Tamandua tetradactyla: one gene and its partner. The protein of the gene in region 2 binds, or shares a complex with, the protein of the main gene of each other region. Links are inferred from orthologs where the notes say so. Each region holds a gene or a part of one and is shown on either strand. Other genes may lie near its edges.

What was found. The genes of interacting proteins can lie anywhere in the genome.
Region 1: the proteins of TLR4 (region 2) and LY96 are in contact, whole or in part, in a crystal structure (PDB 4G8A), measured with the Homo sapiens proteins. The link is inferred for Tamandua tetradactyla from reciprocal best matches to the Homo sapiens genes TLR4 and LY96. Residues at the interface, in NP_612564.1 of Homo sapiens: Gln39, Met41, Glu42, Asp60, Ser62, Phe63, Asp84, Ser86, Arg87, Thr110, Gly111, Val132, Val134, Glu135, Asn156, His159, Ser183, Ser184, Asp209, Leu212, Arg234, Val259, Glu262, Phe263, Arg264, Asn265, Glu266, Arg289, Ala291, Tyr292; in NP_056179.4 of Homo sapiens: Met40, Tyr42, Ile66, Pro67, Arg68, Arg96, Ser98, Asp99, Asp100, Asp101, Tyr102, Ser103, Phe104, Arg106, Leu108, Lys109, Gly110, Glu111, Thr112, Thr115, Thr116, Ile117.

Annotation. Positions count from the first base shown.
Region 1 is NC_135332.1:117,803,105-117,810,700, forward strand, and holds the start of LY96 (lymphocyte antigen 96), read left to right. Parts: upstream 1-4,583; 5' UTR 4,584-4,704; coding exon 4,705-4,816; intron 4,817-7,596. UniProt on the Homo sapiens protein: Binds bacterial lipopolysaccharide (LPS). Cooperates with TLR4 in the innate immune response to bacterial lipopolysaccharide (LPS), and with TLR2 in the response to cell wall components from Gram-positive and Gram-negative bacteria.
Region 2 is NC_135328.1:39,947,152-39,954,685, forward strand, and holds the start of TLR4 (toll-like receptor 4), read right to left. Parts: upstream 3,021-7,534; 5' UTR 2,746-3,020; coding exon 2,653-2,745; intron 1-2,652.

The DNA.
Region 1 (7,596 bases), on a different chromosome or scaffold from region 2:
AAACCAAAAACCAAATGTTATCAAATATCCAGTCTGTTTAAATTTCCTGTGTTTAAAAAAATTTTTTTTCATACTTTGTTTGGCTCAGGAGCAAACAAAGTTAACACATTGCAATTGTTTAAATATTTTTTTAAGGCTGTTATCTATGGGCCCCCCTCCATTTTATACTTTTTTCCTTTGCAAATATTGGTTGAAGAAATGGAGTTTGTCCTTTAGCTGTCATGGTCTAGATTTTTCTGCTTGCGCCTCCATGGTATAGTTCAACATGTCCCTCTGTGTCTTCTGAATTTCCTATAAATTGATAGTTGGATCTTGAGGTTTCATCAGATTCAGGTTTGATTATTTTGAGTAGGAGTATGCCATAGATGATGTTTTATTATCTGTTGCATAACAAATCGCCCCTAAAACTTAGAGGCTTGAAACACCAATTAACATTTGTAATATTGCACAATGTATGGGAGTGGTGTAGTTGGATGGTTCTGATTCAGGGATTCATGAGGTTACAGTCAAGATGTCAGCTGGTGGTAGTGTATTCTAAAGGCTTCTGTGCTGATTTGAAAGTATTATGTACCTCAGAAAAGCCATGTTTTTATCCTGATCCTATCTTGTGGGAGCAACTGTTTCTTTTAATCCTCATTCAATATCATAGGTTGGAAATTACTGATTAAATTGTCTCCACAGAGATATGAAACACCTCACTGTGGATGTGATCTTTTGATTAGATGGAGGTGTGATTCCACCCATTCCAGATGGGTCTTGATTAGTTTACTAGGATCCTTTAAAAGAGGAAACATTTTGGAGAGAGTTAGAAATGACAGAGCCAACAGAAACTTCAGAGCAGAGCTGACACAGATGCTGACACTTAGAGAACAGAAACACAGATGTTTGGAGATGCTTGGAGCCTAGCAGACATTGCCATGAGATGTTAGGCAAGCCAGAACCTGGAGAGAGCCAAGGGAAGCCAAGAGGTGAAATCCAGCCCTGGAGAAGCAAACTGAGGAAATTGCCCCAGAACAGAGGCTGAGAGCAACGGAGTTCAAGGGCAAGGGACCAGCCGATGCCAGCCACATGACTTCCCAGCTGATAGAGCTGTTCCAGACCCACTGGCCTTCCTTAAATTAAGGTATCTTTCCATGGATACCCTAGTTTGGACACATTTATAGGCTTAGAACTGTAAATTTGTAACTTATTAAATTCTCCTTAAAAAAAAACTGTTCCAGTTCTGGTATATTGCATTCCAGCAGCTTACAAACTAACACAGCTTCCAAGGTGGCTCACTCACATGACTGATGAGTTGGTGTTGCATTTTTTTCTCTTAAAAAGGGAATTTATTAAGTTACAAGTTTAAAGTTCTAAGGTCGTAAATATGTCCAAACTAAGGCATCCAGAGAAAGATACCTTGACTCAAGAAAGATTGATGTCAGTCACATGGGAAGGCACATGGCTGGCATTTGCTGGTCCTTGTTCCTGGTTCCAGATTCTGATGCCAGTGGTTTCCTTTCTAAGCATCTGTGGGCCTTCATTTAGCTCCTCTGGGACACAACTCTGGGTTCTGGCTTGCTTTGCATCTCATGAGAAGGCACATGATGATGTCTGTTGGGCTCTGCATCTTTAAACGTACATGTGTAGGCACTGCTCTTTCTATTGTCCCTCCAAGTATCTCCAAATGTCTGTGTCTCTGTCAGCTCTGAAGCAACTCTGGTGTTGGTTTTGGCAGGAAGCCTCAGTTTCTCATCATATGGTCTCTTTGTGGTGCTGCTTGCTTTTCTCAGAGCAAGAGATCCAAGAGAAAGCAAGGTGAAATCCACAGTCTGTTTTGTCCTAGTCTTAGAAGTCATACAGTGTCACTACACAATATTGTATTAGTAACCAAGCCAGACTTATTCATTGTGAGAGGTAACTAGTCGAAGATGTGAGCCCCAGAAAGTAAGGCTCTTTGGGAGCTGTCTTAGAGCGGGTTACTGCTGTTCTTTCATCAAGAGCTATAGAATATCTTTTTTGTCTCTTTCTTTATGATGCTCGATGTCATGATCCTTTAATTCATTAGGTCTTGCTTCAAAATGGTTATCTTCAATTCCACTGACATTTGTTACCTGGAATATTTCTATAAATAGAAAAGAACAGGAAAGTAAAAGAAACATGTCCCTCTAATATTTTGTTACTCAGTAGTTCAGTTTATATAAAAAAGTTATGATACATGTTTATTTCGCCTTACACTATGGACTGCATTGTGTCTCTTAAAAGGATGTGTTCAAGACCTGTCTCTGGTCCTGTGAATGTGATCCTATTGGAAATAGGACCTTCAAAGGTGTTACTAGTTAGAATGAGTCCAAATTGGATTGGGATGGATCCTGATTTAATAGGATCCTTATAAGGAGAGGTAGTTTAGACATGGTAGGAACAGGTGAGGCAGAGAATGAGTTATACCACACATTGTTGGCAAGTCACTACCAGAACTCTGCAGACTCAGAATGTATTGTCCTGCCAACATTATTATTTCAGACTTCTAACCTCCAAAATTGTGAGAAAAAATTGCTGTTGTTTTAAGTCATCCAGTTTGTTGTACTTTGTTATGGCAGCTCTATAAGACATTTAATTTTCCAGTTTTCAAAATAGAATTGGTTCCCAAGCATCTTCTGATAATGACAGATTAGATTGTATATATATGAACTCATGAATTTAAATATATTTAATGCATTTCAATTCACTGGAGTTACTATCTTATAAATACTCATATAGTCCCATGGTAATAGGTTCAATAATCGCCTCCAAAATGTTCACCGTCTAATCCCCAAAACCTATGAATATGTTACCTTCCATGATCTGCTGGTTTGAAACTGTTGTGTACCCCAGAAAAGCCATATTCTTTAATCTTGACTCAATATTGTTGGGTGGGATCTTTTTAAGTTGTCTCCATGGGGATGTGACCCACCCAATTGTAGGTGGGACCTTTTGATTAGGTTGTTTCCATAGAGTTGTGTCTCACCATTCAAGGTGGGTCTTAATCCGCCTACTGGAGTCATTTAAAGAGGGAACCATTTTGAAAAAAGCTTTAGAGCTGACACAGAGAGAGACTTTTGGAGGTGCAGAAAGAAAATGCCCCTGGGGAAGTCGTTTGAAGTGAGAAGCTGGGAGAGAAAACTAGCAGACAGAGAAGGCTAGGAGATGTCACCATGTGCCTTCCCAGCTGACAGAGGTGTTCCAATTATCTGTCTCTGGATTGGTTTGAACATTTTTCTGGTCTTAGAACTGTAAACTTGTAACTTAAAAAATTCCCTTTATAAAAGCCAACACATGTCAGGTACATTGCATTCCAGCAGCTTTACAAACTAATACACATGGCAGAAGGAACTTTGCAAATTTGATTAAGGGTCTTGCAAAGTAGAGATTATCCTGGGTGGGTCTGATATAATCAGAGGGTCTTTAGGAGAGGGACGTGGGAGATCAGAGGAGATGGTACTGTGATGACAGAAGCAGAGTTTGCAGTGATACTCTTTGAAGATGGAGGGAGGACCACAAGCCAAGGACTATAGGTGGTCATTGGAAGCTGTAAATCAAGGAAGTGGAATCACCTCTCTGAGCCTCCAGGAGGAATCAGTCCTACCAACACTGACTTGAGCCCAGTGAAACTGACTTTGGATTTCTGGCCTCCAGAACTGTAAAAGAATATATTTGTGTTGTTTGAAGCCACTGTTTCAGGTAATTTATTACAGCATACCCAGGATGCTAATGCATTCATCTTTGTTCAGCGGGACCCTCTTCAAATTGGCTATTTAATATAAGATATTCCAGGCTTGTCTTATACATTTTCTGCCTCAGACCTGGAGTCAGCAATTTCTCCAAGTAGGAAATGGTATTTTAGATGGAAATAGTATTTTGAGACTCCAGTCTGGGCCCTAGAGGTAGTCATGGGCTTTTGCATTTTTAGAAATGCGGAAAGAAGTGCAGCTCTATAGTAAAACGTTTTGCCACAGCATATGATTATCTCCCTCTAAACAGATTTTTAGACCCATGCCATGTTTGGCTATCACCCCCCAAACTATATCCTATAAAGTTTCAAAGAATCTAGAGAATGAACTCTTTTTCTAAAACGGAGTGGGATTTTTGAAATGAAATATCTATCAGATACAAAATAATGGCCATTTCATTTTTAGGGCTCAAAATATTCTCTTGTGCTGGGGTTTGCTGTAGCTAAGAAAATTCTCGAGCCTGGTGGGGTAGAGGACTGATAAGTGTTCCATGATTAGGGGCCTTACCCAGGTCTGCTCTGCCCTGTGGCTGAACCTGTTACTGAGCAGAAGTCATTTCCAATAGACTGTATTCAATTTTGCTCTATAGGTCCAGCTTCTTGGGCCAGGAGAAATTGCTGTGTAAAGAGCTCACGGGAGAGAATAGCAATGCCAGATGGAAAAGGGACCAATAGTTTACTACTGGCTGGGAAGTGTTTGTTTTTAAAGCTCTGGTCACTCTCACTGGCATCAAGTGTTCAAAAAGAATAATCATAAATCATTTTCCTCTCTCTCTTTGCAGGAAGTGCTCAAATATTAAAGACACACACACAAAAAAGAGGAAATAGTTGGCTAGGAACTCAGAAATCATGTGACCGATGACTGAGTTAAACCTTTTTCACTTACTGAAAGGGAAGAGCCTGATGATTAGTTACTAATCTTCATTGTATTTTTAAAATTTCGGAGAGATTTAATCATGTTCCCATTTATGCTTTTTTCCACTCTGTTTCTTTCTATATTTACTGAACCCAGGAAGGAACACTGGATCTGCAACTCCTCCGATGCAAGTATTCGGTACACCTACTGTGGTAAGTAAAACAGCAACAGCAAACCTTATTCTGGCCATCACTAGGTCACAGGGAACTGTGTATTCCAGCTGCTGCTGCTGCAGCTATTGCAGGCAGGAAAATTGTTGGCTGGCAATGGCCCTGCGTGGACCTACTCGACCCCCTGCAAAGTTTAGGACTCTCTACACTGTGTTGTGTTTGACCTCCAGATGTTTCTGTGGTTCTCTTTGTCAACTGTCTCTAGTCTGAATCCACTTTCAGATTCTTCTCCTTTTTAGAACTATTTGTTTCCTAGCTTTTGAGCCAGCCCCAGGACATACTGGTTCTTAAGGAAGTAGGACAGTCTTAGCTGCCTGCTGGAGTGGATTTCTGCTCTGGGCTGTGAGTTTTAGGACTCCTGGAATCCTACCCCTATTTGGATATAAACCTGGTTCTGTCTGTTAATAGCTGTGTGGCTTTGAGCCAAGTGCTTAGCCTCTCTATGCCCCAGTTTTCTTATTTATAAAATGAGAGTGGTTTCCAAAATACCTTACCAGGATTTTTGTGAGGTGAAATTTTAGCACAGTGCCACATGGAAACTGTGCTAAATATTTTTGTTTTTTAAATCAACCATACCCTAGTACTATTAGCTGGTAGTATCATTGTCTTCTCCTGGTCCAAAGATACTTTCAGGGCCTGACGGGGTTTGGTTTGGCGCTTTCTACTGTGTTGCTTATCATGGGTTGCTTGAACTTATTTATGCCCACTTAATTAGATTATGAAGATTTAAACTTCCCCCAGTACTAATTCTTTGAGATTTCCTTTGGAAAAAAGGATCCATGGTCTAATCTTTGGGGAGAGATTTACAAATATACTTTGAGTTTGGAGAAGTTCTTCAGTAAAGAATTCTGTTTAACCCAAATGTGTTAAAAATGTATTTTAATTAATTAATTAGCTAATTAATTAATTTTTAATGTGTGTTGACTGTCCTACAAACATACTCTGAGAAATGCCAGTATAGAGTTAATTGCCCAGGTGTGAAAATAAGACTTAGGTATGTGACCAGTCACATACTTGGGGCTTTATCCCTATTTGTGGGTTGTGTGAATTCCCTCTCAACTGATCTGTGGAATCTCTCCATTTTTCAAGATCAATCTCCACTCTCCATTTCCCAGGAAGGCTCCTGGGTCCATACAGGCCCCAATTTTCTCTTTTCCTCTGGCTCACCTTTACCACCTGTTGATGACATCATTTGCTCTGTGTTACATTGTTCCTTTAACTTTTATTCATATAACATTTTGTGCTAGTTTGAAACTGTTCCATATTCCAGAAAAGCCACGTCCTTTAATCCTGAATCAACATTGTAGGGTGGAAACCTTTTTGATTAGATGTCTCCACAGAGATGTGAGGTTCCCAGCTATGGGCATGACTTTCTGACGAGATTATCTCCATGAAGCTGTAAAGTGCCCAGTTGTGGGTGTGGCCTTTTGGTTAGATAGAGATGTGACTCCGCCCATTCAGAGTGGGTTTTAATTAGTTTACTGGCATCCTTTAAAAGAGGAAACATTTTGGAGAAAACACAGAGCCAATGCAGATGCTTTGAAAACAGTTGCTTCAGAGCTGACAGAGCCAACACAAGAACCAGACGCTTGGAGTTGCAGGGCCCAGCAGACGTTCCCATGTGCCTTTCTGTAAGATACTAAGCAAGCCAGAACTCAGAGTTGTGTCCTGGAAGAACTAAGAAAAGGCCCACCAAAGCCGAGTAAGGAACTCCCACAGGAAACAGAGGCTGAAAGCAGTGGAGCCCAGGAGCAAGGGACCAGCAGATGCCAGCTACGTGTCTTCTCAACTGACAGAGGTGTTCCCGATGGCATCATCCCTTCTTGAGTGAAGGTAACCTCTTATTGGTGCCTTAGTTAGGACATTTTCTTGGCACCAGAACTGTAAGCTTGTAACTTAATAAATTCCCTTTGTAAAAGCTGTTCCATTTCTGGTATACTGTATTCCAGCACCTTAACAAACTAAAACACACTTCGTATTATTTTTTGCTTTTAATCTTTCAGTAATGCTATGTCATGATATTGTAATTGTCTTTTGAGTTGAATTCCCAAAGAAGATCTTACGTCCCTCTAATGCCGAGAAATTCTGTGGTTCTTGCCTTCAGCCCCTCTGATGTAAGGATGGTGGGCAGCATGTGAAATATACATCACTACCTTATCACGCCCTTCCCCACCTGAAAGAATCCATTCTGGCTGAGCCAGAAATGCCTCAGGTGTGGGAAACACGGAATCTTATAGGTACTCTGTGAGGTTGTTGGTGACAACAGCAACTGCTGATTCAGTTCTAGATGAGGATAATTTCCATGCAGAAGGACAGGTAAATTTCCATTTGACCAAGTTACTAGGCATATACAGAAATGGGAAGACTTAGCTATTTTTTTTCTTCCAGCTTTGGAAAAGGCAGAAAATGTGGGTAAGTGAGTCAGTCCACAGGATCCTGGCACAAACCCTCCTGTTATCCAGGGTAGTCAAACTTGGTTCTAACCTTTCTATACTGCAGATAGTCCAGGAACTCAAGGAGTTAATGGTTAATTATGTAAACCAGTATTTACTGGGCACCAAGCACTTACCTGTTTAGGCACTAAAGAGTCGGCAATGAACAAGAAAGAGAACAGTTCCTGCTCTCATGGAGCTCATCTCAGTAAAATATTCAGCATGTCAGATGGTGGTAAGTGCTGTGACAGAAAAATAAAGCTGGGGAGGGACATAGAAGGTACAGAGATTGACAGGATGATTGTTGATTTTTAGGATGGCCAGGAAGGC
Region 2 (7,534 bases):
TAATAAGCCTAAAATCATGTAGGTCATATGTGGCAGTTCTGAACTTCATTCATCCATCTGCTTAAATGTTACCCCCTCAGGGGAGCCTCACAGATCATGCCGTGGCTATATCTCCTTCACAAGCCGTAGTGCCACCTGACATAATATTGTACATATAGTTCCATATTTGTTTCCATCTCCCATTCTAGATTGCACATTTTGATGATCTTGCTCTCTGCTGTACGGCCAGCATTTCGAATGGTGGCTGTCAAATAGTTGATACTCACTTACATATTTGTAGGATCAATGAATAAATAACTGAGTGAATGAAGCTCTGTGTAAGTACAAATGGTAGGCATTTTCTACTATCTGCTATAGAGTTCCCAGTCTAAAGAGTTAGGACAGGAACAGAACTCTGTCCAACAGGGCCATAAAACAGACTTGGAAAAATATGTTCTCTGGTTCAGAGAAAATAGAGCTCAATTCTGGATGCAGGGATCATAGAAGGTTTTCTAGAGAGAAGATCTCAAAGTGGGTCTTAAACGATGAGTAAGACGTGGATGTATGGAAAGGAGAAGGAAGACATGTCACAGGTAGAGAGCGGTGTGAGCAAGGAAGGGATAGAGACTAATTCAGGCTGGCTGATGAGTGGGGGCAGGAGAGTGGTAAGTCGACGGGTGGGGGGGGGCGGGTTAGAGCCAGGAGAGGATGGCCTCAAACACAAACTTTATCCTATGGTCAATTTCTTTTAATTATTTAGCAAATAACAATTGATCATCTATCAGATGTCGGGCACTAGAAATATAGCAATACATAAAACCAGCAATAACCCTTCCCTCTTAGAGGTTCTATTCCAAACGGGAAGACAAATGATAAACACACAAACAAAAATATGTATTGATGTGATATGGAGAAAAATAAGGTGACTAGAGGCAAATATGGACTCTATTAAACAGAGATATCAGGGAAGACGTCCGTGAAAAGGAGATAACTCAGCAGAGATCTTAATAAAGTCAGGGATTAATCCATGCAATTGTCTAGGTATGTGTTTTCCAATATGGTAGCCCCTAGCCACACATGCCTATTATGCATCAGAAATACGGATGGTATAGACATCTGAAATATGTTGTAAATGTAAAATTGCACTATATTTCAAAGACTTGGTAACAAAAAACTGAAGTGTCTTATTAATATTTTATGCCATTACATGTTGAAATATTTTTACTATATCAAATTAAATAGAAATGTCATTAAATTTGGTGTCACTTGTTTTGTTTTTAACTTTTAAATTTGCCCACTAGAAAATTTAAAATCACATATGTGACTTACACAATATTGTCACTAAACAGCACTGACCTAGGAGAAAAGCGTTCCAGTTAGGAGAAATAGCTAGGGCAAATGCCCTGCAGTGGGAAACTCTTCAAACAGCAATGGGGAGTTATTGAAAGTTTTTAAGGAAGAGAAAGTAATTTGTTAGAGCCAATAGCTTCAGGAATAAAGCAAAAGCTAAATACACATATAAACAAAGATGTATAGAATGGATTTAAGGAAGGGGACTATGGACTCACTATCACCCTCCTTAGTGATAGAAAACAGTCACGATCACAAAGTCAAGGCCAGAGAAACTGAGAGCCTGCACTAGTGTGGCACACAGGGCATGGTCAGAGATGGACAGGCTTTGGCGACTAACAGAAAACAAGACATGGGGAAGAGGAAGGAGCTACGAGTGGTGCGTGACTTTCCCACAGTGACACTGCCTGGGAGATCTGCCTCCATCAGCCTAACAACATGGAAAAAAGCAAGGAGTAGGGCTGTGGGAAGTGCATGGGGGTCTTTCAGGTGGTGAATTAGTCCTTGCTACGTATTAAAGTTATCTATTTTCCCCTCTGTCCCCAACTTCAGGACTCTGGCTGCCTGTGCTGCTCTTGCATCTCTATGCCTGTTCCATTGGGCTACAGGCTTCCAAAGCCACTGTGAAGTCCACGCAGGCAGGGGAGAAACAAGACCCATCATGAATGAGATTACAAACCAGCCAGTTTCACAAAGAATGGTGCTTCACCCCTGATTTGCTAACATTTTACACCTCTCTCTCTTTTTACTTTTTCCTCTTTTCCATGTTCTTTCATTATTTTTCATCCTTTGGACAGAACTTTATGACTGGTTTCAGAAATCTGAAATCTGCCTTGAAATTTCTTTCTATTGAGAGACAAAAACGTCATCTTCTCCCTGCCATCAAAAGAGGCAGAGTGACTCCTAGAAGCTGAGTGTACAAACCACCAGCAGAAAGGAAATAACATCAAAGCAGCTCTCTATTAAAGTAGGTATAATTGTAGTTCTTCTATATGTATGAAAACTAGTCTCAGAGAGGCTTAATAACTTGCTTCAGGTCACACAGCCAGGAACTATTAGAACCGTAATCTTAAGCAGATCTACCTGACCTACAGTCCCTGTTAGCACTCAGAATCCTGAGTGCAGCATGTGCCATCCACTCCCTTTTGGTGATCTGTAACAGTTTCTTATTTGACCCCTGTAGTTTCTTGGGTCTTTAAGATAAAATGACTCCTTTTTGCAGTAGAAACTAACTAGGGTACACAGTGGGAAGTTCTGGGCAGAGAGCAGTTTTTCAGAAGCAAGGCAGAGCTCAAAGGAGATATGCCGACCGCAGCCACATACCTCCACGCAGGGATCCCAGCTCTCGGGTCGCAGACAGGAGAGGAAGGCCATGGCTGGTATCAGCGTCCCAGCCAGGTGCCAAGGAGGCATCATCCTGGCATTTTCCAGGGCCAGCGGTGGCCCTGTGAAAGCATGATTGTGCTGTAACTAGTGACAGTGCAGTCTCCGAGGCACTGGTGCCTCCTCTCCTCAATTCTGTGCCCCACAGCAACGACTTACTCTATTCAAAGCAGCACGGGGCAAGAGTTAAAAGGAAGTGAGAGTGGCAGTCTTAGCATTCTAGACTTCTGTTTTTCTGATATTTATCTCCCCTGTCACAGGAGGGGAAGTTTGAAGAAGGAGAAAGAAAAAGCATGCAGGGCAGGGGCTGAAGCAATAGCAAGAGGAAGCTGGCTCTCATCCCAGGAAGTCATCTGACCTCCGGGCTTGATGAACTTAGGAAAACAATCAGACTCGGGTCAAACACTGTCCTATCAAGGACAGTGGTTTTCACATTTTGTTCTAGTAGTGGAAACTTACTATTCAATGAAATCTGGTGTAGAAACTCAGCATTAGGAAACTAAAATTAAGCTCTAGTGAAACACAGCTTCGAAACTATAAGTGCATTGAAAAAATACTAGAAAAAGAACACTGGGGGGGAAAGTATAAAATATTGGAGGAAACTCGTTATTCATAACCAAGGGCATTGAATTTCAAATCCAGGCTGGCTGACTTTATGGTCATGTGCTCAGTTAAACTACTGAGTCTTAAAATGGAAATAATAGTGTTTAATACTAACAGAAGCTTATATTCATGAAATCAATAAAAATAAAGCCATGTGAGAATAGTCAGGATACGCAAACTAACAAGCCTTGGTTTTCTGGTCTTTCGAATGGAAATAATATCATTTGCCTGGCGTGATTGAATTGGGTTCTCTTACATAAAATGTCAGGCCTGGTACATGGTTTATCATTGCATTCCATAAGTGGCATCTATTATGATGAATAAAATATGCATTCAACATTGCATCTAAGGTTGCTGGAAAGAGTGAAAACAGCCTGGGAAAGACACTCAGATGCTCAGAAGGTATGTACCTCACAGGGTTACCATGGAATTTAACAAGCTGCTAGTATTTCTAACGCTCTTAGAACTGTGCCTAACATATAGCAAGTGCAATGTAACTATTGAAGAAGAACATAATTTAAAATGAGGATTATTACTGGTATTGTGTCCCAGATATTTCTACTGAGATGTCCTGCAGGCATCTCAAATCCATCATGTCTAAAATCAAGCTGCAAGAAAGGATGTGATAGTGGATTGATCACAATATTTTAACTCCTTCAACATTCCTGTAAAATTCAAAAAAAAAGAGTCCCCCATCAAAACTTTGCTTTAAGGATGAAATGAGATTATTTATGTAAAATTCTTAGCGCAGCTTCTGACACAAAGTAGGTGCTCAATAAAGTTTCATTCCCTAAAAAGCTAATGGCATTTCATTCCCACAGTCATCCAATACAGATATGTCTTTGTTTTTTTTCTCCTCTGACTTCATCATTGCCTACCCAAACATTCTAGCAAATCCTAGAGATTTTATCCGTAAAATATTTCAAGAAACCCAGTCTTCATTTCCATAATCATTACCATTGAACATATCTTATGTTCTACGCTGGTGTGATACACTTTTGACTAATATCTCAGGATCTGAACTCATTTCTTCAAATCAAAGAGAACTTTAGGTCTTTATAAAATGCAAATATAATTATCTCATGCCTTATTAATATTATGAGACTATGCATTGCCTAGGCCTTAAGTCTCCTCGCCTCTCCTCTAGACATCTATTTAGGAGACACTAGTGTGTTTCATTTAATCAACTGAGGAATCTTATCCTCACCAGACACCTGGAAGAAGTGCTTGATATTATTTGGCAGGCACTTCATTCATTAAGAAATAAAGAAAGAAAAAAACATTTTGGTCTGTGTTAGGATAGGTTAATTATTGTATCAACTTCCAAATTTCAGGGACTTAACACAATAAAAGTTTATTTCCTGCTCATGAAATGTTCAATGAGGATGTTCCTGATTGGAGGCACTCCAAGAATGGCTCATGGATTCGGGCTCTTTCTATCTCATTATGCTGTCATATTCAACATATCATCTCTAAGGTTGCTAGGAAGAGTGAAAAGAACACAGGAAAGACACTCAGATACTTACCTACCTCTGCTCAGAAGTGACATACATCACCTCTGCTCTCATTCCATTGACCAGAGCTAGTCCCAAGACCACAACTAGTTGTCAGGGCTCTTGATTACCTGACTTTAAGCTTCTTGTCTCTATCTAAAACTCACATGCACACACACAAATACACACACAAAACACACTCTCATAGATGCTTGTGATCACTACTTGGAAGCACCGATTCTATACTATGGAAGGGGAACAAAAACTTGAGTGGTCAGTAGGATATCTGTGCCATAACCTTGAAATCCAGTAATTCCCACTCAGAGTGATTAAAACAAAATAATAATAATGAACAGTGTAGCCCAGCTCAGGGAAGAAAGGCTCCCTTCATTTTGTATATCTAAGAATCAAACCCAATTCCATCCAGTAACTCTCAGTTCCACATCTTTTCACATGTCAACAGCTCTCAAATCAATATGTGTCTCCTAAATGACAATATATTACAATTATAATTAACAGGCTTTTCTTTTTTCTTTCTTGGTGGCCAATAAAAATGATAGCTCTTATAATCAATGTTATCTTAGATTCAGTGATGTAGGGTTTATCACAAAGAGAAATAAGAACAAGCTTCTCTTCAATTAAATAAAGGAAGCAATGGGATAAACAGAGAAAAAGAAATTTTATTTTCTAAGAAATGCTCAGAAACTTTATTAGTGTGTATTTTGCATCTACAAAGGAGTATAATGTACTTAATGTTCTCCAACTTTTTTGACCCATGCACCTTTCTTTTACAATTGGACAGCCATTAAAAATTCAGGATCCATTAGTGTGCTGTCGAGTAATGCTCCTGTGTTGTACGGTACAGAAAATGCTTCTCTTAAGCAGTATTCTCTCGCTAGCAGGTGGTGTTTTTCCTGCTCCTACAACTGGGTCCTCACGTTAAGTTCTGACCTGTATGTCTCAATAGCCTCTTCCCAAATACCACTAGTAGGCGAAGCAGTGAGTGCACCTTCACGGGAGTTCTTGGTGCAAACAGCCCAAAATATTTCTCCTCCCCAGCTTGAATGCCTATAACATCTCTCATGTTATTTTTAAATTAATTTGAATTTTCGTATCAGTTCTGTTTGATTCTCCCAATAAGATATAAACTCCAAGAGAACAGGAGCCTTGTTCAATGTTTACATTTACTGAGTCCATACCTAAGTACTCAGTAAGTAGTTGATAAGTAAATCAACAAACAATGTATTATAACTTGTTTTTGAAATACAGTGAATATTTTAAAGTCTTTGCCAACTTTCCGTATTGAGTAACTTGACTCTCTTATAAGATGATCAGTGATTATTCTTGGACTTCTCTTACACTTTTCTACTTGCATATATCCCCTTGTGATGCTCATGCCCCAATTTAAGCAACATGGAGAGCACCAAGTCAAAGCAAGTGCATTAAGAAGAAAGTTCTTGTAGTAAACACTCCACCTTTCCTGGGTAAAAAAAATCCTCATCGCCTCCTTTACTCAGGAACTTGAGGCAAACTCTTCTCTCTTTCTTCTTCCTCTTTATTCCTCTAAATCTCCAGTAAATTCCTACTTGTCCATTCAAACCCCAGAAAAGTGTAATATAAAGAGAACTATAATTTAAAATATTTAATCATCCCATTTAGTTAATGGCATAATAGTTTCTTAGTTGTACACCTTACTTAACTCATTATTAATACATAAACATTTTAACATATATTATTAACATTATTAACATACGCAGTAAAGAAAGCAGACACCTATTACATGGAGCGTATGTTCTAATGATCAGTGAGCCAATGACAACTATAAGTAAATACATTAGATAGTATGTAAGAAGGTGTTAAGGTCCATTAGGGGAAAACAGAAGGAAAATAATAGAGATGAAGAGTGGGAGGTGATATTAAATTTTTTTAATTATAAAATATAACATATACACAAAAAAGCAATAAATTCCAAAGTACATTGTACCAAGTAGTTATAGAACAGATTTCAGAGTTTTGTATGGTTAGTTACACAACTTTAGGTTTTTCCTTCTAGCTGCTCCAAGACATTGGAGACTAAAAGAGATATCAATATAATGATTCAGCAGTCATACTTATCTATTAGGTCTTATCTTCTCTGTTTTAACTCCTCCTTTTCTTGTGGTCTTTCTCCAAATCTTTAGGGGTATTTGGACTATGCCCATTCTAACTTTTTCATATTGGAAAGGTTGTCAATAATATGGGATAGGGGAATGGAACTAGCTGATGTTCTGGAGAGGCTGGCCTCTCTGGGTTTCAGGACTTATCTTGCCTAGGAACTCATTTGGAGGTTGGAGGTTGCTAGAAAACAATCCTAGTGTGTGGAACTTTTGTAGAATCTCTTATAGAGCTCATGGTGTTCTTTAGGGTTTGCGAGAATGGGTTTGGTTGGAGTTTGGCAAACCACGGTAAATAGCAATATCTAGCAGAAGCTTGTGTAAAAGTGGCCTCCAGAATAGCCTCTCGACACTATTTGAACTCTCTCAGTCACAGATACTTTATGTTGTTACAATTATTTTCCCCCTTTTGACATGGTGCCAGGCCAGGTTCATCCCTGGTTGTTATATCCCACATTGCCATGCTTCATACCGAATGTCATGTCAAACATGGGGGGATAGTAACATTTGAATTGCAGAGGTGGGCTTAGAAAGAGGCCACATCTAAGCAACAAAAGAAGTCCTCAGGAAGTA